Cricetulus griseus: one gene and its partners. The main gene of each other region encodes a partner of the protein of the gene in region 3 in a complex. Links are inferred from orthologs where the notes say so. Each region holds a gene or a part of one and is shown on either strand. Other genes may lie near its edges.

Region 1 (3,502 bases), on a different chromosome or scaffold from region 3:
CTGGGAAGGGAGCTCCTTCCTCTGCCTGCCTGAACTTTGTACCTGGCCAGGGAGCAGCAGATAAGACTACACAGAACAATCTGAGAGGCCAGTGTCCTCGGGAGATAAGGGTTCCTCCCTCTCCCAGCTGAGCTAGCAAGAAGCCCTGAGGACCCCTCTTCCCTCCCTCTCATCACAGCAGTGAGAGGGGGAAAGGCAGCCTCCCTAACAGAAACCCACTGGGAATGGCTGAGGTGAGAAGCCAGAATGGGCCATGCCAGAGCACCAGTAGCAACCCCCACCCCACTCCATTTATAGGCCATGTCTGGACTGACCTTCCTGGCCACCAAACCCCACTCCCAATCCCCCCAGCCAGGCCTACGAAGTCAGAGGCTCAGACCCAATCAGAGGAAGAGCAGGTGAGGCACAGGCAGCGGGGATTATGGGGATTAGCTGCAACTCAGCAAGGCTCTCACCAGCTTCCCCACATCCACTTTGGCTTTTCCCCTGGGCCGCCCCAGAGTCCCCACACCACCACCCCTCCCTCCCCAGGCCAAAAGGGTGCAGACAGACACATGGTTAACAGAACATCAAAAGGATGCGGAGAGACACGTGGTTAACAGAACGTGTTGTACTTTATTTGCATTTTCCAGAATACTGTACAAAGGGAGTAAAAATCCTATTCACACTTTGCTTAGAAAGACCACAAGGTGAAAGTTCCCTATGATACATGGGGTTGAGAATGAGGGTCAGGGGAAGGAAACAGGGTGAGTGACTTCCCTCCATCCCCTGGAGAGCTCAGGCACCCACACCCTTCCAAAGGAACATGCCCCAGTCGAACCAAACCAGCGAGGGGAGAAGACAGCCCCTCTTCAGCTTAGTCAGACTCTGTGAGCCACCTCTCTTCGGGCTGAGGAGACAGTGCCTGCAGCTGTCCCTACTAGTGCCCTGTTTGGGCAGGGATCCTATAGCACTGTGGAGCCCACTGACCTCACATGGAGGGGGCCTCTTGGCCACACAAGAGGCACTGCCCGGGCACAATCTACATGAGAATACAGGTTGAAGGGTTGAGGAAGAGCTACCCAGGGAAGTTTCCCTCAGACACAGCTAAGGGAAGTGTCCGATTGGACCTGTGCTTCTGAGGACTCACAGGCCTATTTCAGCCTGTGCACGCCCTCACACCAAGCCAGGAGCTTCAAACTCCCTCCTTCCCCACCCTTCCCCACCATCATTCTGTGGGTAAATTAACCCTCCAAGCCAGCTCTCCTTCCAGCCCACATCCCAGAGGAGGCTGGATCTGGCTCCTCCCCAGATCCTCTTTTTCACACTGATTCACATCAGCTGCTGCTATCTTGACCATCCTAAGACCCCACCCTCCCCCTGCTCACAGCTCCCCTCTCCCCTGGACCAGGGCAGCAGCATCCTGGCCCCACCTCTACACCAGGTGTTCCCCAACCCCATCTTCCTTTCCCAATCTTCCTCCTACCCCATAGCTCACCCAGGGTGGGTTGCAAGGAAGTCAACGAGCCTGACTGCTCTACATAGAGGGGAGAGACAGCGCAGCACGTGTGTTTCCAATACATACAAAAGTGAGTCTCACCCCACACACTCAAAGACTGAGGGGGAGACGATGCAGAAGCCGTACCGTCCCTCTGCCCCTCTCAGGGGCTAAAGTGCTATGGCTGCCTGAGGGTAAACAAGCCAACAGGGGTTTTTCCTGGCTTCCTGTCCCAACTTCTGAGGTCCACAGTCAGCCGGAAAGCCCAGCCCCTTTCATGACCACCCCCACGGCATCTCTACTCAAAAGGCAAAAGGAAAAGATCAAAAACTTCAGAATGGGTTAGAGCCCAAGGGCCCCACCCTAACCCCACTACAAGCTACTCCAAGTCGGCTACTGGGGAAGCGAGGGGGAAGCCAGGCCCAGGGCACACCCCCATCTCTGGCAGTGAGTGTCCAGAGGCTCCTGTCTTCAGCATCACAGCAAAGGCCTTCTACCCTTCCCCTGCCAACCTGGCTGAGGAAGGGGCTACAACCTCAGTACTTATTGATTCCAAAAATCCGGACTCCATGGAGCTGGGGCAGCTTGGGGATGAGCACACTCATCAAGGACACAGTGTTGAGTATGAAATGGACTTGGTCATACTTGGTGTAGAAGCTGGTGAGGAAGTACCTGGGCCGGGGAAGGCAAGAAGATAGGAAAATAAGGGTCCCAACTAAGAAGTGGAGCGACAAGTCTCACTCCTTACCTACCCCCAGCTTACCCCAGGCCTATGGGCCTGTCTCCTGCACAGAGTTGGGGAAAGTCGGCCAGAAAGACCCAGGGGCCAGGGTGAGACCCAAGGTATGCCCCTTCCTTCCTTCCCTCTGCTCATCTCTAAACCAAGGGCCAAAGTTGGGGAGAGTTGGAGCCTAGCTGAGCCCCTGGCTTTACCACACCTGCTGGCGTCTCCCACAGCCAAAGCACTCACAGCACAATCGGGGTGATGGTCAAGAATTTCCTAGAGGCTGTGAACTGGACTCCATAGTCCATCTGCTCCCAGTGGGTCAGCAACCTGGCTTTGCCCTGGTCTGGAGTCTCGAAGGGTGTCCCTTTCACCGTGTGCAGGAAGATGTACATGCCCTGAAAGGAAAGACCTTCATCAGAAAATACAAAAGGCAAGTCGACTCCCAGCCTGGCTTCCCAACCTGTCACACACAGAAACAGCTCCAGGTGGACTGCCACCTTCCTCTGCTGCATTGGCGCAAGCAGGCAGTCTCAATATACAAAAGAGCGCCCAGGAGCCCACATGGTGGAAGGACATGGGGACCGCATAAGGGGAGGAGTTAGCTACACAATGGGCAAACATGGCTGCCCTCCAGCCCAACTAGGGTCTCTGCATGTCAGCTAAAAGGAGCAAGCCAAGGAAGGAGGACTACCCTGTCTGCTCAAAAGTGGGGTATAAGGAAGCAGGTTTTAGGGAGCACAGAGGTTCAGGAGAACCTCAGCAAGGCCTCAGCTCTCAGCTCTAAGCTCTCAGGTGGCGCAAATGTAACCAGCAGCAAGCCCATCCTGGAGACACAGGCAAGGTGCAGATTTGATTCTTGTAGGTACGCTACAGCCCACAAGGGGGAGCAAGGCCAAGATAAGAGCCCGGCCTTGGCTCAGGCGACATTGTCAGGACCTGCTGTCTGTCCCAGGTCAAGCTCCTCCTATCTCTCAGCTCTGGCACACAACAGCCCATATGGTCGGAGACTGGCAGTAAGCAGGCTCTTACCAAGTTGTGGATAAGGTTGGTGAGGGTCCAGACGACAGGGACGCTCACAAAGGGGATGCTGAGCAGCACGACATGCAGGAGTCCGATGGCCAGCACATACGAGAGCCAGATGCCGCGGCTGTTCATCACCCGTGTGTTGGGGTTCACCTCACTGTGTGCCGTGCCCACATTCATCCTGCCACCCCTCTTGACTGCTGCTCTGCAAACAAGCAACACAGGTGAGACAGGTCACACCACTTTCCCTGCCCCTCACACCCTGAGCCCCACAG
Region 2 (4,416 bases), about 31 Mb from region 3:
CCCCCTCCTCATACCCTCCCACCTACTTCAATCTCAAGAGAGAACACTTGGGGAGAGGAGGGGGCATGACTCCACACATAGAACCTCTAACACAGCAAAGAAGGGATAATAACTTAGGTTTTACTTTCATTCAGATAACAGACATCTGGCACAACCCCAAGCCATCTATTTACTCACCCAAAGGAAAACAGGAGTGTTTATTTTAACACAATGTTTTTTGGTTGGTTTGGTTTTGTGGTTTGGGGGGGACAGGGTTTTATGAAGCCAAGGCTAGCTTCAAACTCACCATGTAGCTGAAGCTAGCCCTGAAGTTCTGATGCTCCTGCGGTTAGCTACCTCCCCTAGTTCTAGGACTGCAGGCATGCACCACTGCATCTAGCTATGGACACAATAATTTGAACAGAAGGAAAAAAAAAAAAAGGCAGCTTTTTTTTTCTGATAGAAATTAAAGCTGATTTTTTTTTTCCTATTGGCTTCACCGTGCAGTCTGGTTTTGCAGTTATGCAATGAACATTTTCTATGAATTGTAAGAAAATCATTTTAACAAAAGTATACAGTTAAAAAAGTAACAAAAAATAATTTTTGTTAAAACAATTTTAACAAAAGTATTAAAATATATGTATAAATAAATTCTTTCTAGCTATCTACAAGACTCCTATGTCAACATAAATGAGCAAGGGAATCCATCATCCACCTTTTTTTCCTTTGAAGGGTTACATACACCAACTGTCTGAAGACCACTACACTATGTGATCTCGAATAATGATGCTGTTGCTACAGCTGCTGTTTTTGGAGACAGGGTTCACTAAGATTCTGTTTCATCCAGTTAGCCCTCCCTGGTACTAGGAAAGAGCATCCATTCCTGCAGAAGGAAAATCCAAAGGTAACAGCAGAAAATACACAACAGCAAACATGGTGGCCCACACCATACCAGCACTCAAAAGGCTAAGAGAGGAGGATGACTTTGAGTTTGAGGCAAGTTTGGCCACATAGCTTGGCCAAACACAAGCTTGGATGCATAGCTAGATCCAATTAGTCAAAAACACCAAAACCAAAATCTACTGAGGTTTCCCTTCATAATTTCTCTGTCTTCAAAACAGGACACTATTTCTACTAAAACATAGCACAGAAAAATCTTAATATTGTTGCCACTGTAGTATTTATCCATAAACCAACAAATGTTTTGACGTATACATGTCCACACTAAGCTTTACCATCAACCTCTGACTTAAAGAGTTTCAAACTTTACCCCATTTTCTTTTCTTTTCTTTCTTTCTTTTCTTTCTTTCCTTCCTTCCTTCCTTTGAGTTTTGCTATGTAACCCTGGTTTGCCTGGTCCTTGGCTATGTATTATGTAGCCCAGGCTGCCTTGAACTCCCAGCAACCCTCTTGAACGTTGCAATCAGTTATGAACCACCACATTAGGCTTTCATTATTGTTATTTTGACATTGTTTAATTTCCAGTCAAGATTACCTGCTACTATTGAGAAGCTCCAATAAAACATGTATTTAAATGTACATTTTACCTGACCTACAAAATCCAGAGACAGAACTAAAGCTACAAAACACACAATACAGAAAATCAGCAACTTTATATTCCAAACCCCCAAATATGCATTCTGGTTATTAAATTCTAGGTTAGAAAAGAAATACCAATGGTAATAAAATGTCTTGCAAGCAGCTAAAATTTTTCAAGAGTCAGCTCCAAACAACTTCATGCTACTTCAACACCGGCACCCTTGATAAAAGGCAGAGCCAGCGCTACCTCAGTCATCAGAATGCAACAGTGCATGTGTGAAGTTGTTCCTAAGGAAGCTAAACCACATCAGAAAGCTGAGCCTTGACGAAATGAACACGTGATGTGAAATAATTCAGATTTTATTAAGGAGAGGGGACTGGAAGAAAGAAAGAATGCATTGTTAGTATTTAGTCCACAGGAATAATATCAGAGGATATCAAAATAGACATTGGGAGCCAACAAACATCCCAGACATCACAACCTTGAGCTGTTCATTGGGGCTGTCAAAATTAGGTGAGGTAAGGTATACACGAAATGCTCAGCAAAGTCGTCACTCAACAGTTCTTATTTATAAACTACACAACAAAGCACAGGTTGAAACCCCACCTACAACTAACCACAAATCTGTCCCGGGCACAGTTTGTATTTACGATGCAAAGAAATCATAAATAAATCCCACTTTCTAAACTGCCATCTTGAAGATCAAAAAGGCCTGCCAGGAACTTATAAACTGCTTTCCAAAACTGTATGAGAGTGTCACGACCACGTCCTCACAACCTGGTGAACTGGTTAGAGTTCTGTAGCTCCAAAGCCAATCAAATCAGGAATAGCTAAAGGGTCAAAGACGCCCAAGCCTGGAGCGATTTGCTCAACCAGCATCATCCCTGCCTCCTACCAGGGGACTGAAGCAAAAGGCAGGCGCGGCCGAAGCGGGGCAGGAAGCACCAGGGGAGACGTCGCCCTCCGGACGGCCTGCAGAAATCAGGATGCCACCACCTTGGGCAGGGGAATTGCGCCCTACACCCGGATCTCCGCGGTTTCACCTCCCCTGGCCCTAAGACCCCCGCCCCACTCCACCCCCACCCCCCAGCGCGCGTGCCCCTCCAAGCCCCGGCCAGGCCAGGCAACACAGGATACTGAACACGGTCCGCTCCCAGGGTTCCAGCATGTAGAGCGCCGTGACCAGCAGGTACTGGTAGTAGAACCAGGACATCTGCTTCCAGGCCCGCGCCAGCCCCATGCCCGCCATGCGCCTCCCGCGATGCAGCAGCGTCAGGCCGGCCGGCGGCCCGCTCACCTCCTAAAGCCCCAGGCCTCGGGGCCCGCCCGCCACCACCCTGCGCCCATTGGCCCTGCTGGCTCCGCGCGTCACCGTGTACGCCCAGCCCCGCGCGCACCCCGAGCGGCCACCGCCGGTCCCGCCTGACCGGCGCTTATTGGTCAGGAAGCCACCTCGGTGCTCGCGCCCCGCCCCGTGCCTCGCCCCCGGTGCGCTCTCCAGCCGGAGGAAACGGTCTGGGTTTAAGCGCCTGTTCTGCATCCCCACGCGCCCGCATGGCGGTTGCGAGACCGGTTTCGGTGTCCACTGGTGTCCAGTCGAGGGCATGCCCTTTCGAACCAGGTTCCTTCAGACCAGCCCAGAAGGGTTTCTTCCTTTAGGAACAAGTGTGTAGAATATCTCTCTTCTGCCTCTGGGCCAGGGGGTTACAAGGCTGGGTAAGAATGCAACCATGGAGTCAGGCATGCAAATAAAGTGTCCTTGGACTGAGAAAATGAAGGATCAAAGAGAACGTGGTTACCAAATGTCACCCAGCCAAGGAGGTATTGCAAACTGTAAAAGTGACAGGTACATCAGTTCTTCTCTTCACCCAGGCACATGCATGAAAACACACCTATCTAGGCCTTGTAACCGCCCCCCAAGTACTCCTTAACCTAAAGACAAGAGAACTGACCATAAACAGCTGCCCATTTTTGGTGGCTGCACTTAAGAAACAGCCAAGTAGATCAGGATCAAGGGAAGTGAACTTAAGAACTTAATGTAGTGGGTTCTTCAGACAGCTTGAGGTCAGTGTGGGAGCTGTCTCCTAGAGATGCACTCCTAAGATTTTTCTACCAGCAACAATACCAGTTGTATTCCACTCTTCTGGAAGTCCATGCACTGTCTGCATATGAAATGACATAATTAAATGATCTGCAATTTACATGTTTAAAAGTTTTGAGCCTGCTGCTTTAAGCTTTAAAACTTTGAAGTCTGACAACTATTAACTTAAAAATACCAAGTGTTCTTTATGAGCAAAGACCTTAAAAACAGTAATAGACTTAAATCTATCCATAAAATACTTAGTACTGCTAGAGAAGGCAGGCAGGTAGACTACAGTGAAGTGTGATTAAAGGATATCTGTGTTCTCTGTATTAGATTGGAAGGGTAAAGGTTTCTGGGAAATAGTTCTTGAGCTAACTGCTGGAGAAGTACTAATAGAAGAAACATGGGTGATAGATGTTTCACAGAAAAATAATACCTCTACATGAAAGTCTAGTGTTTGATTCCAGGACTAAGGAACTGTACTGGATGGTTTTGTATGTCCACTTGATACAAGCTAGAGTCATCAGAGAGGAAGGAGCCTCAGTTGAGGAAATGCTTCCATGAGATCCAGCTTTAAGGCATTTTCTCAATTAGTGATCAACCGGGGAGGGTCCAGCACATTGCCTGTGGTGTCGTCTCTGGGCTGGTGGTCCTAGGTTCTATAAGAAGATAGACTAAGCCAGTCATGGGACACAAAGTAGTAAGCAGCACCCCTCCATGGCCTCTGCATCAGCTCGTGCTTCCAGGATCTTGCCCTGTTGAGTTCCTGTCCTGACTTCCTTCAGTGGTGAACAGCAATGTGGAAGTGTAAACC
Region 3 (3,069 bases):
CAAGGGGGTCAGTATCTACAAGGAAAACTTATAACACTAATGGTGAAGTGGAACACGGGCAAAGGATTGACTCACACTTCCTTTACCAGGTCACATCCTAATCTGGACCCAGAAGCAGCTAGAGACTGTCATAACTGTGGAGGTCGGAAGCATTAGGGCTAGATGGGGTAAGAACCCAAACTTGGGACACATCTTCAGTCTGTGACCATATGAAGAAAATGAATAAATAAACTATTTGGTGACCAGAACAACAATGAAGATTAAGAGAAGTCTAGGGAGGTCCTTGGCCAGGGGGAGTCACATAATAAACCTCCTGGCATTGTTAACATTTAAGACTAAAGATAGAATGCTTTGGTTGATTAACTTGACTGGTTAAATAAGGGTTATTGGGGGGGGGGGGCGACCTCTGAGACCTGGACAAGAAGTTAGCAGAAGGCACTTGCTCCCTAGGGAGAGGGCCAGTGAGTCTCAAGGCTGGAGCGCCAGGGCCAGGTTAAGTCTTGATGGATCCAAGCCCAGGAGGTGACTGGAGTAGGGAATGCCTGTGTGGTAAGCCACAGGCAAGGGTCAGTGTGATTTCACAAGTAGAATAGTTATAAAATAAAACATTTTTTAATGGACAAAGTAATCATTTATATATATATATATATATTATATAAAGGTGAGACTTAGCAAACAATGGAAGAATGTGAAGCAGTTTGTTTCTTTTTTTACTATTTACAAAATGCCATTTGGAGTGGAGGTGTCCACCTTCAGTAGCTTCGGAAATGTCTTTCACATGAGGTGGTCACTGAAGTGTGGTTCTGGAACTGGCTCAGAAAGGCCACACACTGTCCTGGGAGGGAGTTTCCTCCTCTAGGGAGCACCAAAAAGGCTCAGTCTTCTGTCTCCTCATAGGTAGTCTCATCAAAGGGCCTGTCCAACAGAGGCACCAGCCGACGGCGTGAGTACTTCAGCTGCAGCAGGTCTCCAACTTCATCTATCTCCTTTAAAGCCTAAAACACACACAACAGTGCTCAGTCAGGATGAGCAGGATGCAAGCATGCCCAACACTTTGCTGGACCCAAACAACAGTGGCAAGGGCATCTTTTTTTTGTTTTGTTTTGTTTTTTGAGACAGGGTTTCTCTGTGTTGCTTGGAGCCTGTCCTGGAACTCGCTCTGTAGATCGGGCTGGCTTCAAACTCACAGAGATTCGCCTGCCTCCATCTCTTGAGTGCTGGGATTAAAGGCATGAGCCACCAATGCCACTGGCTAGTGGCAAGGTCATCTTAGAGGGATACAGTTAATTCAAGTATGCAGGAAAGACTGTACACAGCTGAAGCAAGAGTAGCATCTGGCCAGGAGTTGGTGGCACACGCCAGCACTCGGGAGACAGGAGGCAGGCGGATCTCTGGGTGTTCGAGGCCAGTCTGGTCTCCAGAGCACACGTGCGTGCGTGCGTGCGTGTGTGTGTGGTAGCATCTGAACAAGAGCTCAGGCCTGGTCATCAAGATGGCCATGAGCACCCAAGCATGCGCTACAAAGGCTGCAATTCTTATCTGTGTAAGGTGCTCAGGAGGAAAGGGAATAGGCTTCCTGTCAGGATTAGAGCTATAATTCTGTATGAAAATGCACACTTTGGGCCAGTGAGTGGCTCAGCAGGTAAAGGCGCCTTCCACAAAGCCTCACAACCTGAGATCAATCCCTAGGACCCACAGTGGAAAGGACCAACTCTTGCAACTTGCACTTTGAGCTCCATATGCAAGTCATGGCATGTTTGAAACCACACCCACACTCAAAAGCACAATAAAAAAATTATAAAAAATATTTTAAAAGAAAATATGCATTTTAGAACTGCTTACCAGCATAAAGGTCAGTTTGCATGTTTTTTTATTCCAAAATGTGAAGAATATAAATAAAGAATAAGAGCTGAGCTTCACTGTGCTATCAGAACAGCGGGGCCTTGGAGGCCAGGCTTAACTGAAGACTCCACACAGACAGTTAACTCTGAACTTCAGATGGGAGAAACCATTAGCCATTTATCTCCTTGACTGGTAGAGGACTTATACATTTAAAACAAAGGTGTACATGACTTAGAACACAGAGGAAAAGATATTTATGAGCCCTGACTCCAGGAACACCTAGTGTTTTTTCATCAGTGTGAAGAAGAAAGTGGTTAGAAACACGAAGTGAGCAGAAACAAACTCTCAGTGCCCAAGGGGATAAAAGTAAGAGTCTTGTTCCCATATCTAGTATTTCACACAAGGTTTTTGATTCTATTTTTTCATTTGTTATGTGATATGGGATCTCAATAAACTTCCCAAGATGATCTGGGGCTCTTGAGCTCAAGTGATCTTTCTATCTCAGACTTCTGGGAACCCAGGACTATGAGCATATACCACCACTCAGAGCCCCACACAAGTTTTGTCTACATAAAAAACCAAATTTGTAACAGAAACTGCTGGCCCTTAAATGAGGTTATTTGGTTAGATTAGGAGCAAAGAACCATTATATGGTAATATCTATTAGCAAATAATTATAGTGACCTCTGGCACAAGGCATAAGACGAGTTCCTAGAGAAAGACATATCCAGCCCAGGCTGAGTGAGGACAGTGCTAGTACAACTGCCCTCCCACAGCGGATACTGTTATTCTTCCCATTATGTGGAAAGATGACTTTACTGAAAAATGACCCACATTCCACAAACCTCAACTTTTTTTTTTTTTTTTTTTTTTTTTTTTTTTTTTTTTTTGGTTTTTCGAGACAGGGTTTCTCTGTGTAGCTTTGGAGCCTATCCTGGCACTTGCTCTGGAGACCAGGCTGGCCTCGAACTCACAGAGATCCGCCTGCCTCTGCCTCCCAAGTGCTGGGATTAAAGGCGTGCGCCACCAACGCCCGGCCAAACCCCAACTTTTTACTGGACACAATTCAGTGCTTCTAGTATAATCCCATCATGGCACAACTTTCATCACTTCACTGCTTGTAGAGAGTTTCCTTTTGCTTTTTTCCTCCTCCTCTTTTTTTTTTTAGCTTTTTGAGACAGATCTCTGTGTAGCCCTGTCTGCCTTGGAACTGACTCCGTAGACCAG

Evidence for each region.
Region 1: the proteins of Sptlc2 (region 3) and Ormdl3 are in contact, whole or in part, in a cryo-EM structure (PDB 7K0O), measured with the Homo sapiens proteins. The link is inferred for Cricetulus griseus from reciprocal best matches to the Homo sapiens genes SPTLC2 and ORMDL3. Residues at the interface, in NP_004854.1 of Homo sapiens: Glu65, Thr66, Pro67, Met68, Ala71, Val72, Tyr75, Tyr86, Gln116, Phe118, Glu119, Asn120, Phe121, Tyr122, Tyr127, Trp134, Asp259, Glu260, Leu261, Asn262, Val267, Arg271, Ile279, Met320, Val495, Val496, Gly497, Phe498, Pro499, Ala500; in NP_001307730.1 of Homo sapiens: Met1, Asn2, Val3, Gly4, Thr5, Ala6, His7, Ser8, Pro12, Val16, Ser19, Arg20, Gly21, Ile22, Leu24, Ser25, Leu28, Phe63, Val67, Lys68, Gly69, Thr70, Pro71, Phe72, Glu73, Pro75, Gln77, Arg81.
Region 2: the proteins of Sptlc2 (region 3) and serine palmitoyltransferase small subunit A are in contact, whole or in part, in a cryo-EM structure (PDB 7K0K), measured with the Homo sapiens proteins. The link is inferred for Cricetulus griseus from reciprocal best matches to the Homo sapiens genes SPTLC2 and SPTSSA. Residues at the interface, in NP_004854.1 of Homo sapiens: Leu73, Gly77, Val80, Leu81, Phe84, Leu87, Arg88, Leu91, Leu126, Arg129, Ile130, Tyr156, Met475, Pro476, Ala477, Lys478, Gly480, Ala481, Arg484, Glu485, Asp533, Leu534, Leu535, Gln536; in NP_612145.2 of Homo sapiens: Trp15, Tyr18, Gln19, Leu21, Leu22, Val23, Thr24, Ala25, Tyr27, Met28, Leu29, Glu30, Pro31, Trp32, Glu33, Val36, Phe37.

The regions. Positions count from the first base shown.
Region 1 is NC_048600.1:111,717,331-111,720,832, forward strand, and holds the end of Ormdl3 (ORM1-like protein 3), read right to left. Parts: intron 3,433-3,502; exon of another isoform or gene 3,428-3,432; 5' UTR 3,408-3,427; coding exon 3,234-3,407; intron 2,600-3,233; coding exon 2,448-2,599; intron 2,150-2,447; coding exon 2,014-2,149; 3' UTR 596-2,013; downstream 1-595. UniProt on the Homo sapiens protein: Plays an essential role in the homeostatic regulation of sphingolipid de novo biosynthesis by modulating the activity of the serine palmitoyltransferase (SPT) in response to ceramide levels.
Region 2 is NC_048598.1:147,641,231-147,645,646, reverse strand, and holds the start of serine palmitoyltransferase small subunit A, read right to left. Parts: upstream 2,848-4,416; 5' UTR 2,769-2,847; coding exon 2,657-2,768; intron 1-2,656. UniProt on the Homo sapiens protein: Component of the serine palmitoyltransferase multisubunit enzyme (SPT) that catalyzes the initial and rate-limiting step in sphingolipid biosynthesis by condensing L-serine and activated acyl-CoA (most commonly palmitoyl-CoA) to form long-chain bases.
Region 3 is NC_048598.1:116,491,206-116,494,274, reverse strand, and holds the end of Sptlc2 (serine palmitoyltransferase 2), read right to left. Parts: intron 996-3,069; coding exon 876-995; 3' UTR 636-875; downstream 1-635. UniProt on the Homo sapiens protein: Component of the serine palmitoyltransferase multisubunit enzyme (SPT) that catalyzes the initial and rate-limiting step in sphingolipid biosynthesis by condensing L-serine and activated acyl-CoA (most commonly palmitoyl-CoA) to form long-chain bases.